3 linked regions of the Nothobranchius furzeri genome follow. The protein of the gene in region 2 purifies or fractionates together with the protein of the main gene of each other region. This does not show direct contact. Links are inferred from orthologs where the notes say so. Each region holds a gene or a part of one and is shown on either strand. Other genes may lie near its edges.

Region 1 (3,653 bases), on a different chromosome or scaffold from region 2:
GAAGGGTGCTCGCCTTAAGCTACCAGTCTTTAGGCCACTGGTACCACTGTGGGACCTCTCTTGTTCTGGAGGCCCTCCGTCATCATCCTTTTGAACCTGTAGATGGGGCTGGATTGAAATTTCTCTCTTTAAAAACTGCACTGCTCTTAGCTTTAACTACATCAAAGAGAGTGAGTGAACTTCAGTCATGGTCAGTCAGTCCCTCTTGTTTACAGTGGGCCCCTGGCTACACTAAGGTGTGTCTGCAGCCCAATCCAGCTTTTGTGCCTAAAGTAATGCAGTCGTCTTATAGCTGCTCCCCTATGGAGCTGCTGGCTTTTCACCCACCTCCTTTTTCCTCAGCAGAAGAGCAGAAGCTTAATTGTCTCCGCCCTGTTCAAGCTTTAAGGGCTTATATGGACCGGACTGCTGGTCTCAGAAAATCAGACCAGTTGTTTGTTTCTTGGGCCACGGCCCATAAAGGCAAACCTGTGTCTCGGCAGAGACTGGCACACTGGATTGTAGAAGCAATCAGCCTTTCATATAGGTGCAAAGGTGCTGAACCCCCTCTGGGGGTGAGGGCTCATTCTACAAGGAGCATGGCCACATCTTGGGCCCTGTTTCGGGGGGTGTCAGTCCAGGATATTTGTGCAGCAGTTAGCTGGGCCACACCGCTAACTTTTGCGCAGTTTTACAGGCTGGATGTGTCTCAACCTTCACTGGCGCATTCAGTGCTGGAGGCCGGATGCACAGCATCTGCCTAGTGGTTAAGCTGAATTTTGCTGCAGCTCGCTTCGGGGTGGACATGCAATCCGGGAGTGGGCCATATCTCCCAGAGTGAAACACCGAACGAAGTTAGAAAAAGAACGTAGGGTTACGTTATGTAAACCCCGGTTCTTTGATAACAGAGTGAGGTGTTTCACCAACAATTCCCTTCTTGCATTATCGGTAAGAAATCGTCCGTATGAGTAGGAGGGATTGGTTGGCCATGTATATACTGGGTGGGCGGAGCCTGGGCACGGCGCAACCGGTCTGTCAGGGACAGACGTGATGTCATTGGAGCTTCCGTAGTTGGTCACGCCAGGGTGATTCCCATAGTGAAACACCTCACTCTGTTCTCAAAGAACCGGGGTTTACATAACTTAACCCTACGTAATCGGCCATAACGGTGATCTTAATTTCGGTATCGGCCCAAAATTTCATATCGGTGCATCACTAGATTTAACAGTTCATGACTACAGATTCAGTTTTTTTTTTGGGGGGGTCAAGTCAACTGTATTTATATAGCACTTTACAACAACATGAAAGCTGACCAAAGTGCTTAAAAAGCCAAATACAGTAAAACCAACAGCAATTTGCTGAAATGCTGAGAATAAGTTACAATAAAAAGGCTCATAGTAAAAGAAATGAAAACATGACATAAAAACCACTAAAACTATACTTTTTATGCTAATTAACAGAAATTCTAATTTAGATAAGTTGTTTTTGTTTACTTAGAGGATTTGAGATGTTTCTGATATTACTGTTATTTCTCAAACAGAGAAAAAGATATAGAAAGTTTTCTGGAGTCAAGTAGAAGTAAATTCATCGGTTACACTCTCGGCAGGTGGGTTTGATTTTAAGCAGCTCCAAACTTGAGAACAGCTTTGTTTAACGTCATAATGTGGGAGCGTAAAGCTGCTTTTTGTGTCCTGCAGTGATACTGACACAGTGGTTGGGTTGCCCAGACCCATTCACGAGAGCATCAAGACACTAAAGCAGGTAAGCTGACAGGTTTGTGGAGCTGTTGCTGCAGGGCAGCCTAACACACCTGTTACTAAATGATTATTTTTCCCTTTGGTTTTCCAGCATAAGTATATTTCCATAGCAGAAATCCAGATTGCAAAGGAGGAGGAATACCAGAAAACTCCCCTCTCTGTTGTGAGTGGAAAGCAAATCTTTAATAATTTACCCTGATTGCGGCCTGAACAGTAATCTGCAGAGGGCTTGAAGGGTCACAGTTCTTGTCCTTTCTGTTTTTCTTTTCAGGGAGAAGAAGAAGTGGAGATGTGCTCCACTGAGCTTCTCTATCAGGGAATCCTGCCCAGTTTGCCTCAATACATGGTTGGTTCTTCAGACAGGGTCTACTTTCAGCTACTGTGAATGTTCACTAATAAAACCTCACTGTATGGTGACTGTTCAGGATCTCCAGCTGTAGATCTCAGCTTAAACTGACTCTTGTTTGGAAGTAATTATTACGTCATTATAGACATGGCTGTTCTCGGCTCTCTCCTGGGCTTATTCATCACACACAACCTGTGTCGAACTAGAATAGATTAAGAATCTCCTGAAATGAGTACCGTATTTTCCGGAGTATAAGTCGTACCAGCCACAAAATGTATAATGAAGAAGAAAAAAACATATATAAGTCGCACTGTACTATGAGTCACATTTTGGGGGGAATTTTTTTTAAATTTTTTATTTTTTACAAAGTCTGAGACCAAGCATTTCACATTTAAGACAAGTACAAGTAACAATAACAGAATAAACAACCAGGGCGCAGCAGCGCGCCACGGTCTCCAGCAGAGGATGGCGGTGTTTCAAACTCTCCCAGCGGGTGGGGAAAGCACCTGCAGCACCCCGCCACAGGCTGCAGCAGGTGATGGCGGTGTTTGAAACCCTCCCAGCGGGGCAGAGGAGCTGAAACCTGGACCGGAGCCGGCCTGCAGCAGCGTGCCACGGTCTCCAGCAGGTGATGGCGGGCAAGGGAGCTCATTCCTGGTCCGGAGCCGGCCCGCGGTATACATAATTTGGTATATAAGTCACTTTGGTATATAAGTCGCAGGACCAGCCAGACTATGAAAAAAAGTGCGACTTATAGTCCAGAAAATACGGTAATTATATTAGCTATATGAAGGAACCTGAAATGCAGCCAGTCCAAACATCAGCTACAATTATAAGATTAGGCAATGACATCACTTTAATACTTTCTGTAGGATTAGTTAGGAAACGCATACGATTTATTTCGACTTGAGTTTGACATTTAAGATCCTGAGACCTGCGCTTTTGTCTGGTCTACATTTTTCATTTCCCCCTGGGGGGTTGTTCTTTTGAACTTTTAAAAAAATGAACACACTTTTCTTGAAATAAATATTTAGAAGAAACAAGTAATAAATAAAGGTAAAATACTACAAAATAAAATGTAGAAAAGTTGAATGTAAACAAAGAAGTGTGTGTGCGTGTGTGTGTGATTAAGTTAAACGAGCTTAAATAGATGATTAGATGATGTTTTCTGTTATCTAAATGTTAGATTGCACTGCTGAAGATCCTTCTGGCTGCTGCTCCCACATCTAAAGCCAAAACGGACTCCATTAACATCCTAGCAGACGTGCTGCCAGAGGAGATGCCGTGAGTGGAAAATTTACTGACTAATGTCTAAAACGGTTGTTCTCATCAAACCCAGACCAGTCTTAGAAACTACTTTGTCCCTCATGCCATCAAACATCTGAACACCTTGCTGGGGTGGGGGTGTTGGAACAGGAGGTGCAGGAATAAAATAGCATAACACAACCTGACAGCATTATTTTCAAATCCTAGAGTCTCATTGTCTATTTTCCATCAGAAGCTAATGCAGGAGATAGGTGTAGGTAGGGATGGGTACCTTTGACATTTGAATCGATATGGTACCAATTCCC
Region 2 (3,653 bases):
AGCTCTGGACTCCTTGCTCTGCATAAGGGCTGGACCAGCAGATGATGCTCACTTTTACTTAGACAAGCACATTAGTGCGTCTTAATCAAGCATTCAGTCTAAAGCCGCAGTAATGAATATATATTTAACAGCAGGGATTCTTTAATTACAGCCCTTTCTGCATCACGTTCCTCTTGTGCTTAAAGACCAAGGTTGCTGAGAAACTATTTTTTTAATCGTTAACTTTGAGCTATGATTGGCCACATGCAGGATGAACGTGAAAATAGTCTTCTACCTCTATTTTCTGCATTTACTCGTCAATTAGTAAATAAACAAGTAAAAGATTGAATTAGAAAAGCCAGCCAGCCAATTCCACATCACATATAAAATGTGCATTCATGGACTCACCCATGTTGGCTTGTAACGGGGAAGGCTGTGGTTGGTTGGTTGGTTGGTTGGTTTAGTGTCCAGGAAAGACTAGAGCCCATCTCAACTAGTAGAAACTTACCGTTAGCATTAGCAACTCCACCACGCAGCAGAACTCCTTCAGGCTTGAGTTATTTGTGGAGATAAAACATCAAAGTTGCAGAGCAAGCAGTCAGTGGTAGAGTCACATTGCTGTTAGCCAATCAGAGGCCAGATGTCTGAATATCAGGAAATGAGACCAAATTCTGCCATCTTCTGCTCACCTCTCATCTGGCTAACGTCTAGTTCCTGAAACAGGAGCACCAGAGCTTTTTTTACCCCACAGAGATCACACTCATTCATATAGAGACCACTGCAGATGGGTTGACAAAAATGAGTAAACTCTGCCTTTAACGAGCAGAAAAACAAAGTTGGGGTTTAACTCGCACTGATCATCACAAAGGCAGTGGCAGAGGAAGTAAACTTATGTAGAATAAATGTTTATTTTCCTATAGACGTACACATCACTGCACGCAGTAAGGCAATTGATAAGTGAATCTATTATTCATGTCTGTTATCAGTAGTTACATGCTGCCAGGCAGAAAAGGACTTTCTGTTTACACTTCAGACTCCATGACATCACTCCTCATGTTTTGTTTTTTGACTTTACCTCAAATGTGCAGAGTTACAAGAGAGCAATAGGGGAGGTTAGTATCTCTGTCGTCTTGTGTGATCCTGCATGGATTTGTATTGGTGTTCCTGGACTTCTACGTGTTTATGGAGAATCACATGCATGCTGTAAAGCCTTCATTCATTTGAGGCGTTGTTTTTCTTTTGAATTAAATAATATTCTGTTTATAATTTGTGCCATTTGACTATTTTAGTTATTTTTCCCAATATAAGGATGCCCTGAATTGTAAACCATTTGATTCCCAGTTGAGTACTTTCTCTGGATGGGACCTCACTCATGTTTTTGATAATCTAAATAGTAATTATGCATTTGTTAATGTTGTGCTCATTCTTTACATCTTTAATTGTTTAGAATGTTTTGAATGCATTCTCAAAGTAAACAAAGCTGTATGCGGGTGCAGGATCATGGCCTCTATGCCAAGGAGCGTGCCGAGGAGCCACCGAGGCCTCCTGTCAAGGCCAATGATTACTCCTCCTCTTCAGAGAGCAACGAAAGTAGCGAAGAAAGTGAGAGTGGCGAGGCAGCAGAGGAGGAGGAAAGCCCAACGGATCGGTAATGCTTGCACAAATAAACTTTTACAAATGAGGTAACGGAAAACTGAGTAGGCCTAAATGTTCAGTCACAGGGATGCAGACACCGATTCGGTCAACACCATGGTGGTTCATGAAGACGAAGGCGAGGCAGAGGGGGAGCAAGCAGGAGTTTATGGGGACCAGACCATGCTGGTGCAGCGGGTGAGTCACGCCAACTTCAGATCATGTTTAAGATGCTTTTTGATTTCTGCAGAGGAATCTGCATGGTGGCAAATATTGTAGAGCAGGGAGATGAATTCATTCAACTCATCATGTTAGACATTTATTTAGGAAGTATAACATCATTTTTACTGTTTTTGCAAACTTCTCAACAAACAGATCTAATTCCAAAAATGATTTAAAATCATTTTTATAGCAACTCTTTTTTTGATTCCAGTTTAACAGAATTAATAAAGGGCATAAACGCTTTTTATTTCTAAAGCCTCATTAATCTGCCTCCATAAAGTCGTCAGGCCTTACTTGTGCAGAAATACACAGAATTTAGAACAACACTAAAACAAAAAGGTCCCTTACTTTATTTTGTGGATTTGTTTTTATTCAGTTATTTAGTTTATATAAAAGATCAAACAGGAATAAACAATATATTTAAATGTTGACACAATGCAACTGTTTAAATTATTCACTTCATTCTGTGATCTGCTGGTTTCTTATTATTAGACCCTTAAATATTTGTAAAGGTTTTTAATGAAAGTTGCCTGAAGCTCCCCTCCAGCTAAATGCTGTTAGTTTGTCAGATAAAGCATCTCTGAGATATTTGGGGAGACGACCATGACAGCATGCATTTCTGGATGGCTCCTAATGAGTTGAATAGGAACAGTGTCTCCTTGACTGAGGGGTTTTGTGTGTGTGTGTGTGTGTGTGTGTGTGTGTGTGGGGGGGGGGGGGGGGGGGAGGTTTAAATAGTGAAATTACAGTTTTGGTATCCTAATTGATACAATGACACACACTGCAGGTTCATGCTAACAGTAGTAGGTCTTCACAGCCGTCTCTGACAGCTCTGAGGCTCAGCTGCAGCACAGGAGCAGTAGCTGTCCTATATTTATGTCACCATCTGGATTGGTCAGCCATCATCCTCACAGGACTTCATGCCCTCTGGAAAATTTGTTTTATTAAAATTACGGCAATTTGGAAAAGTTAGTTTGTCGACTCGCTTTTCTTCAGTTTTCACAAAATAAAAACAAGGATGTCTGAAGAACTTACTGACATTTGATTGAGTTGACAGCTAGAAGTCACTCAGTAAAGACTTCAACTCATTCATGTTTCCAGCCTGCAGAGACGATAAAGCAGCTGACCTGTTATAGAAAAGGCACAAGCTACGTTTAAAGGGATTACTGCTTCTTTACTGTCGTCACATAATACAAGTATCTGTCTATTTGACCTGAAAGACCCCGGAGAAGAGGAGCCATAATGGATACACTAACTTGCCAGATGTGGTGCAGCCTTCCCACTCTCCCACTGAATCAGCCACTCACTCCTCTCCTGGGAAAGACTCTGTTTATGATGTAAGTTGTCCTGATGCTAAGTTTGTCAGCCCTGGTTTTAGGGTTTATTTTTATTTCTTCTATGTATGCCATCATTTCTGCTAGACGCCATCATTTCAGTATGATACTGGCATCAGTAGCACATGTTGTTATGATTCTCTGATGTGAAAAGGTGAAAGTTTCCACAGAGTTTATGTAGACTTGTTTATCTCACCCACCCTTTCTGTTTCACCAGTATCAGTCCAGAGGTTTGGTGAAGGCATCTGGCAAGTCTTCCTTCACTACTTTTGTAGATCTAGGCATGTACCAGTCTCCGGGAGGAACAGGAGATAACATGTCAATCAGCAGTGAGTCGGAACATTTTTAAATGTGCTTAGAGTTGATTATTAGAGAACTTTCGTCTTCTTGTTTATTTGTCTTTTGCAGTCAAACATAAAGAAAACAACATGATTGTTTTGATGCTATTGTGGCGTTTTGGATGAAGTTGTTGATGCACATTAAACT
Region 3 (3,653 bases), on a different chromosome or scaffold from region 2:
CAGGGGAACGTTGCTAATGAGCCATAAAACAAAAATTCTAGTCAACCATATTTTTATCCTTTTTAGCTACTGTTTTTATCTCTATTTAACAATTAAAGTATCTCTCCGGTAGTGTTTCTCTTATCTGATGGCACCATCTGGTGGCTGACAAGCATATCACACAAATAGTCACTCGATCCATTTTTTTAAGATGGCGACTTCATGTTTCTTGTTTCTGAATGTGCTTCTGTAGCCGACAAACAGAGCTAAAACACGCATTACAAGTATTATACTCATATCGTGTTGTGCTTTCATATATCTTAAACACTTGTTGGTGAAAAGTTCATCAACTCTGCATCAGCCGAGGTACTTCCTTAAATTTGAAGCACGTAAGCAGTACGCTATTGGTTAGTTCTGGTCGGCGCTCAGGTTCCTATTTCACGGAGCTCTGCGGGGCAGAGGGCGTTCTTATCAACAAAGACGTATTGCTTACATTACATCACAGTACATGATAAGACGATCACTTACGGATTTCTGAAAAATCATATATAACTTCTGAAAAGGGAAAACTCCGGAACCTTAAGTGTAAAAGTCACATTTAAATTTATGTTTATTTTGAGGAATCATCTCAGAACCAGGTCGACCGATACGGTTTCTCTATTGCTGATACCAATGCCGATATGTTGGAGGCATGGTCAGCCGATGTGCTTTTTGAACTCTGAATTTAACCAGCTGTTAAATCTTAACGTTGTGCACAGCTCATTGTTAATAATGGTAATTTAGAGTATTCATCATGCACATGTTACTAGTGAGCATAAAAATACATTTAAATTAAATGCTGCAACAGCACTGGGTTGTCCAAAGATGTGCCTGACTTTAAATCAGCTTTACTAAGGACAAATATCAGCTGTTGTATTAAAATCAGTAAATATCAGACCGATATATCGACTGGTCGATATATTGGTCTGCCCATAATGGCTACCCAATCCATTCATTTTCATTTGAATCAGGCCTTTTGAAGCAGAGGAACACTTGAATGTACCAAGGTCATTATCAAAATATAAAACATCCAAATTATATTAAATATAGTCAAGAAATCCTGTCCAGACTTGAGTCCAAAAAGGAAATTGTGGAGTAATTTAAAGGTTGCAGAGATGAGTGGGACGCTTTCCAAACTTGAATCCCCACTGATCAGATTCCAAAAAAAGAACATTCCCAGTGGAAATCTGTGAAGCTAGACGTTTTAATAAGCTGTTTGACCTTTGTAACGGCAAATGAAGAACTAATATTTTTATCATGGCATTTGTAGAGAAGTAAATCAGAAATACCTACATAGTCTTTACGGTCACTCTTCACTTCTTTGTGGCGTTTGCAACAAAAGGGATAAAAAATGAAAATGTTGTCTAAAGTATTGGGTTTTAGTTGGCCTATATGAGCCCATGTGGTAGGATCTGCACAATTTCCTTTTTAAAATAAGGATTAAGTGTATTCATAACCGTGTGTGTGTGTGTGTGTGTGTGTGTGTGTGTGTGTGTGTGTGTGTGCGTTACATACAGGCTCAGGTGGCATTCCTACAGAGTGAACGGAAAGGGCAGGAGAACATGAAACAGGACCTGGTGAGGCGGATCAAAATGCTGGAGTATGCCCTCAAACAGGAAAGGTTTGTTCTCATCACATTATTCCTGCAGCCTCTGATAAAATAGGACATGTATAGGACAAAGCTGATGTCGGCTGTTTTGGCCCCATCTAACAGTTGTGTACATTCTCCAGGTGCTGTGTTTAGTAAATAAAGCCTTGGATTGGCTTGTTGTCGGGTAATTTTCCCGATGGGATTTGTTTTGTGTCTCCAGGGCAAAGCACCAGAAACTGAAGACAGGAAATGACCAGAGTCCTGGAGAAAAGAAGCCAGAGATGGAGGCAGAGCAGCGTATGTTTTTCACTTGTTCTTGTCTACGAATGCTGCATCTTTTAGAGCCGAACGTGTTTTTTTTCCTACTCATGGCTTGTTGAACGTGTTTTCTGTAGTTCTCAATGGACCAGCTGAGACAGACTCTGAGCCAGCCAATCAGATGTCCTGGAAGGAGGGACGTCAGTTACTACGCAAGTGAGTTTGCCTGATAATTTCAAATCCACTGATGCTATATTATGCTTGTGTTTTATTATTGATTTTCCGTCTGTGGTTGCAGATATCTGGAGGAGGTCGGCTACTCAGATACCATCTTGGACATGCGCTCCAAACGTGTGCGCTCCCTGCTGGGTCGGAGCAGCCCGGAGACGAACGGGCCTCCGCCCGGCGACAGCTGTCAGGAGCCAGAGCCACGAGCAGCTGGAGAGTCCTTGCTGGTCCGGCAAATAGAGGAGCAAATCAAAAGGTGAGGCGTAAATACAGACGCTATCTTTGACGTTACGCCTCACGTACATGCTGCAGTGACGGCACAAACAGCTTCCACATTTTGCTGCACAAAACTCAAATTATTTGGGGGAAAAACAATCGGAAGAAAGGAGAGGAGGGCTAATTTTTCAAAACACTTAACCAGTCCAACCCAGTTCAAGTGGAGGGATGGAACTGGCTGCCAATAAACCTGAGTCACCTATTTACTGATGGTGTCAGGGCTAATAACAGTTACAGGATGAATCTGACAAGTCTAGTTTCTCCTCTAATGCTGCTGGGCGTAGTTCACAGTAAAAATAACAACAAAACAGGCTTCAGTAGACGGAGGCAAGGTTTTTAACTCAAAACTGAGATCAGAAAAAGTAAAAAAAAAATCCAGAGGTTTATAAAAACTAGAGAAACATTAAATGTAATCAGATTCATAGATTTGAGACATTGGACAAAGAAGTGGTTTTAGTATGTCAAAAATAGTGACAATACTTAAAAATTATTTTACAGCGGTGGATTACTCGTTTAAATAATACATTCGCAGTGGTCTCTGCTAGGAGCGAATGGCTTGTAAGTCATACTTTGAAGAAACAATTATACTGGTGCACCATTTCTAGGACCTCAGTTACCCACAGCTGAGCTTCAGACGGCAGGATTTGGAGTCTTATTTCCTGATATTTGGACATCTCGCCCTGGATTGGATAACAGCAACTCTACCACTGACTGTTTGCCCTCCAATGTTGATCTCTACAAATAATACAAGCCTGGAGAAGTTCTGCTGTGTGTTTGAGATGCTAATGCTAATGGTTAGCGTCTGCTAGTTGAGATGTCCTCTGCTGTTTCCTGGCTGTTAAACCAACAGCCTCCCCCGTCATGAGTCAAGATGGGTGAGTCCATGATTGTTAAGTGACCGTGTGATGTAGATCTGTCAGGTTTTTCTAATCCTAGAGTTTCACCGTCTATTTTCTATCGGAAGCTAATGCAGGAGACAGGAGTAGGAGACTATTTTCATGTTCAGCCTGCATGGAAAGCTCACAGTGACCAATTATATTCAGAAATATGTTCAAGTGTTTTCTAAATTCATTAATCAAAGTTTACAATTATAAAACATAAATTTATTTTAAAGAGCAAGTTCCCTGAGAAACCGATTTTTTATTTGTCGTTTTTTAAATATGATCAGTAACTCTCAGTTTAACGTACAGGAACTAAATTAGATGCTGAAAGAAAATAGACGTGGAAACATTGGGATTAGTAACGCCTGATAGATCTAAGTCACATTTAAAATTAGCGTTCG

What was found.
Region 1: the proteins of mink1 (region 2) and strip1 purify together in Homo sapiens (affinity purification with mass spectrometry; 3 studies listed by BioGRID and IntAct, with this or other methods). This does not show direct contact. The link is inferred for Nothobranchius furzeri from reciprocal best matches to the Homo sapiens genes MINK1 and STRIP1.
Region 3: the proteins of mink1 (region 2) and strn4 purify together in Homo sapiens (affinity purification with mass spectrometry; 3 studies listed by BioGRID and IntAct, with this or other methods). This does not show direct contact. The link is inferred for Nothobranchius furzeri from reciprocal best matches to the Homo sapiens genes MINK1 and STRN4.

Annotation. Positions count from the first base shown.
Region 1 is NC_091743.1:46,749,258-46,752,910, forward strand, and holds part of strip1 (striatin-interacting protein 1 homolog), read left to right. Parts: intron 1-1,519; coding exon 1,520-1,585; intron 1,586-1,676; coding exon 1,677-1,740; intron 1,741-1,827; coding exon 1,828-1,899; intron 1,900-2,007; coding exon 2,008-2,082; intron 2,083-3,268; coding exon 3,269-3,366; intron 3,367-3,653. UniProt on the Homo sapiens protein: Plays a role in the regulation of cell morphology and cytoskeletal organization. Required in the cortical actin filament dynamics and cell shape. Part of the striatin-interacting phosphatase and kinase (STRIPAK) complexes.
Region 2 is NC_091750.1:48,005,447-48,009,099, reverse strand, and holds part of mink1 (misshapen-like kinase 1), read left to right. Parts: intron 1-1,067; coding exon 1,068-1,091; intron 1,092-1,475; coding exon 1,476-1,627; intron 1,628-1,694; coding exon 1,695-1,809; intron 1,810-3,053; coding exon 3,054-3,170; intron 3,171-3,384; coding exon 3,385-3,496; intron 3,497-3,653. UniProt on the Homo sapiens protein: Serine/threonine kinase which acts as a negative regulator of Ras-related Rap2-mediated signal transduction to control neuronal structure and AMPA receptor trafficking.
Region 3 is NC_091753.1:40,954,650-40,958,302, reverse strand, and holds part of strn4 (striatin-4), read left to right. Parts: intron 1-1,535; coding exon 1,536-1,639; intron 1,640-1,829; coding exon 1,830-1,906; intron 1,907-2,004; coding exon 2,005-2,083; intron 2,084-2,165; coding exon 2,166-2,351; intron 2,352-3,653. UniProt on the Homo sapiens protein: Calmodulin-binding scaffolding protein which is the center of the striatin-interacting phosphatase and kinase (STRIPAK) complexes.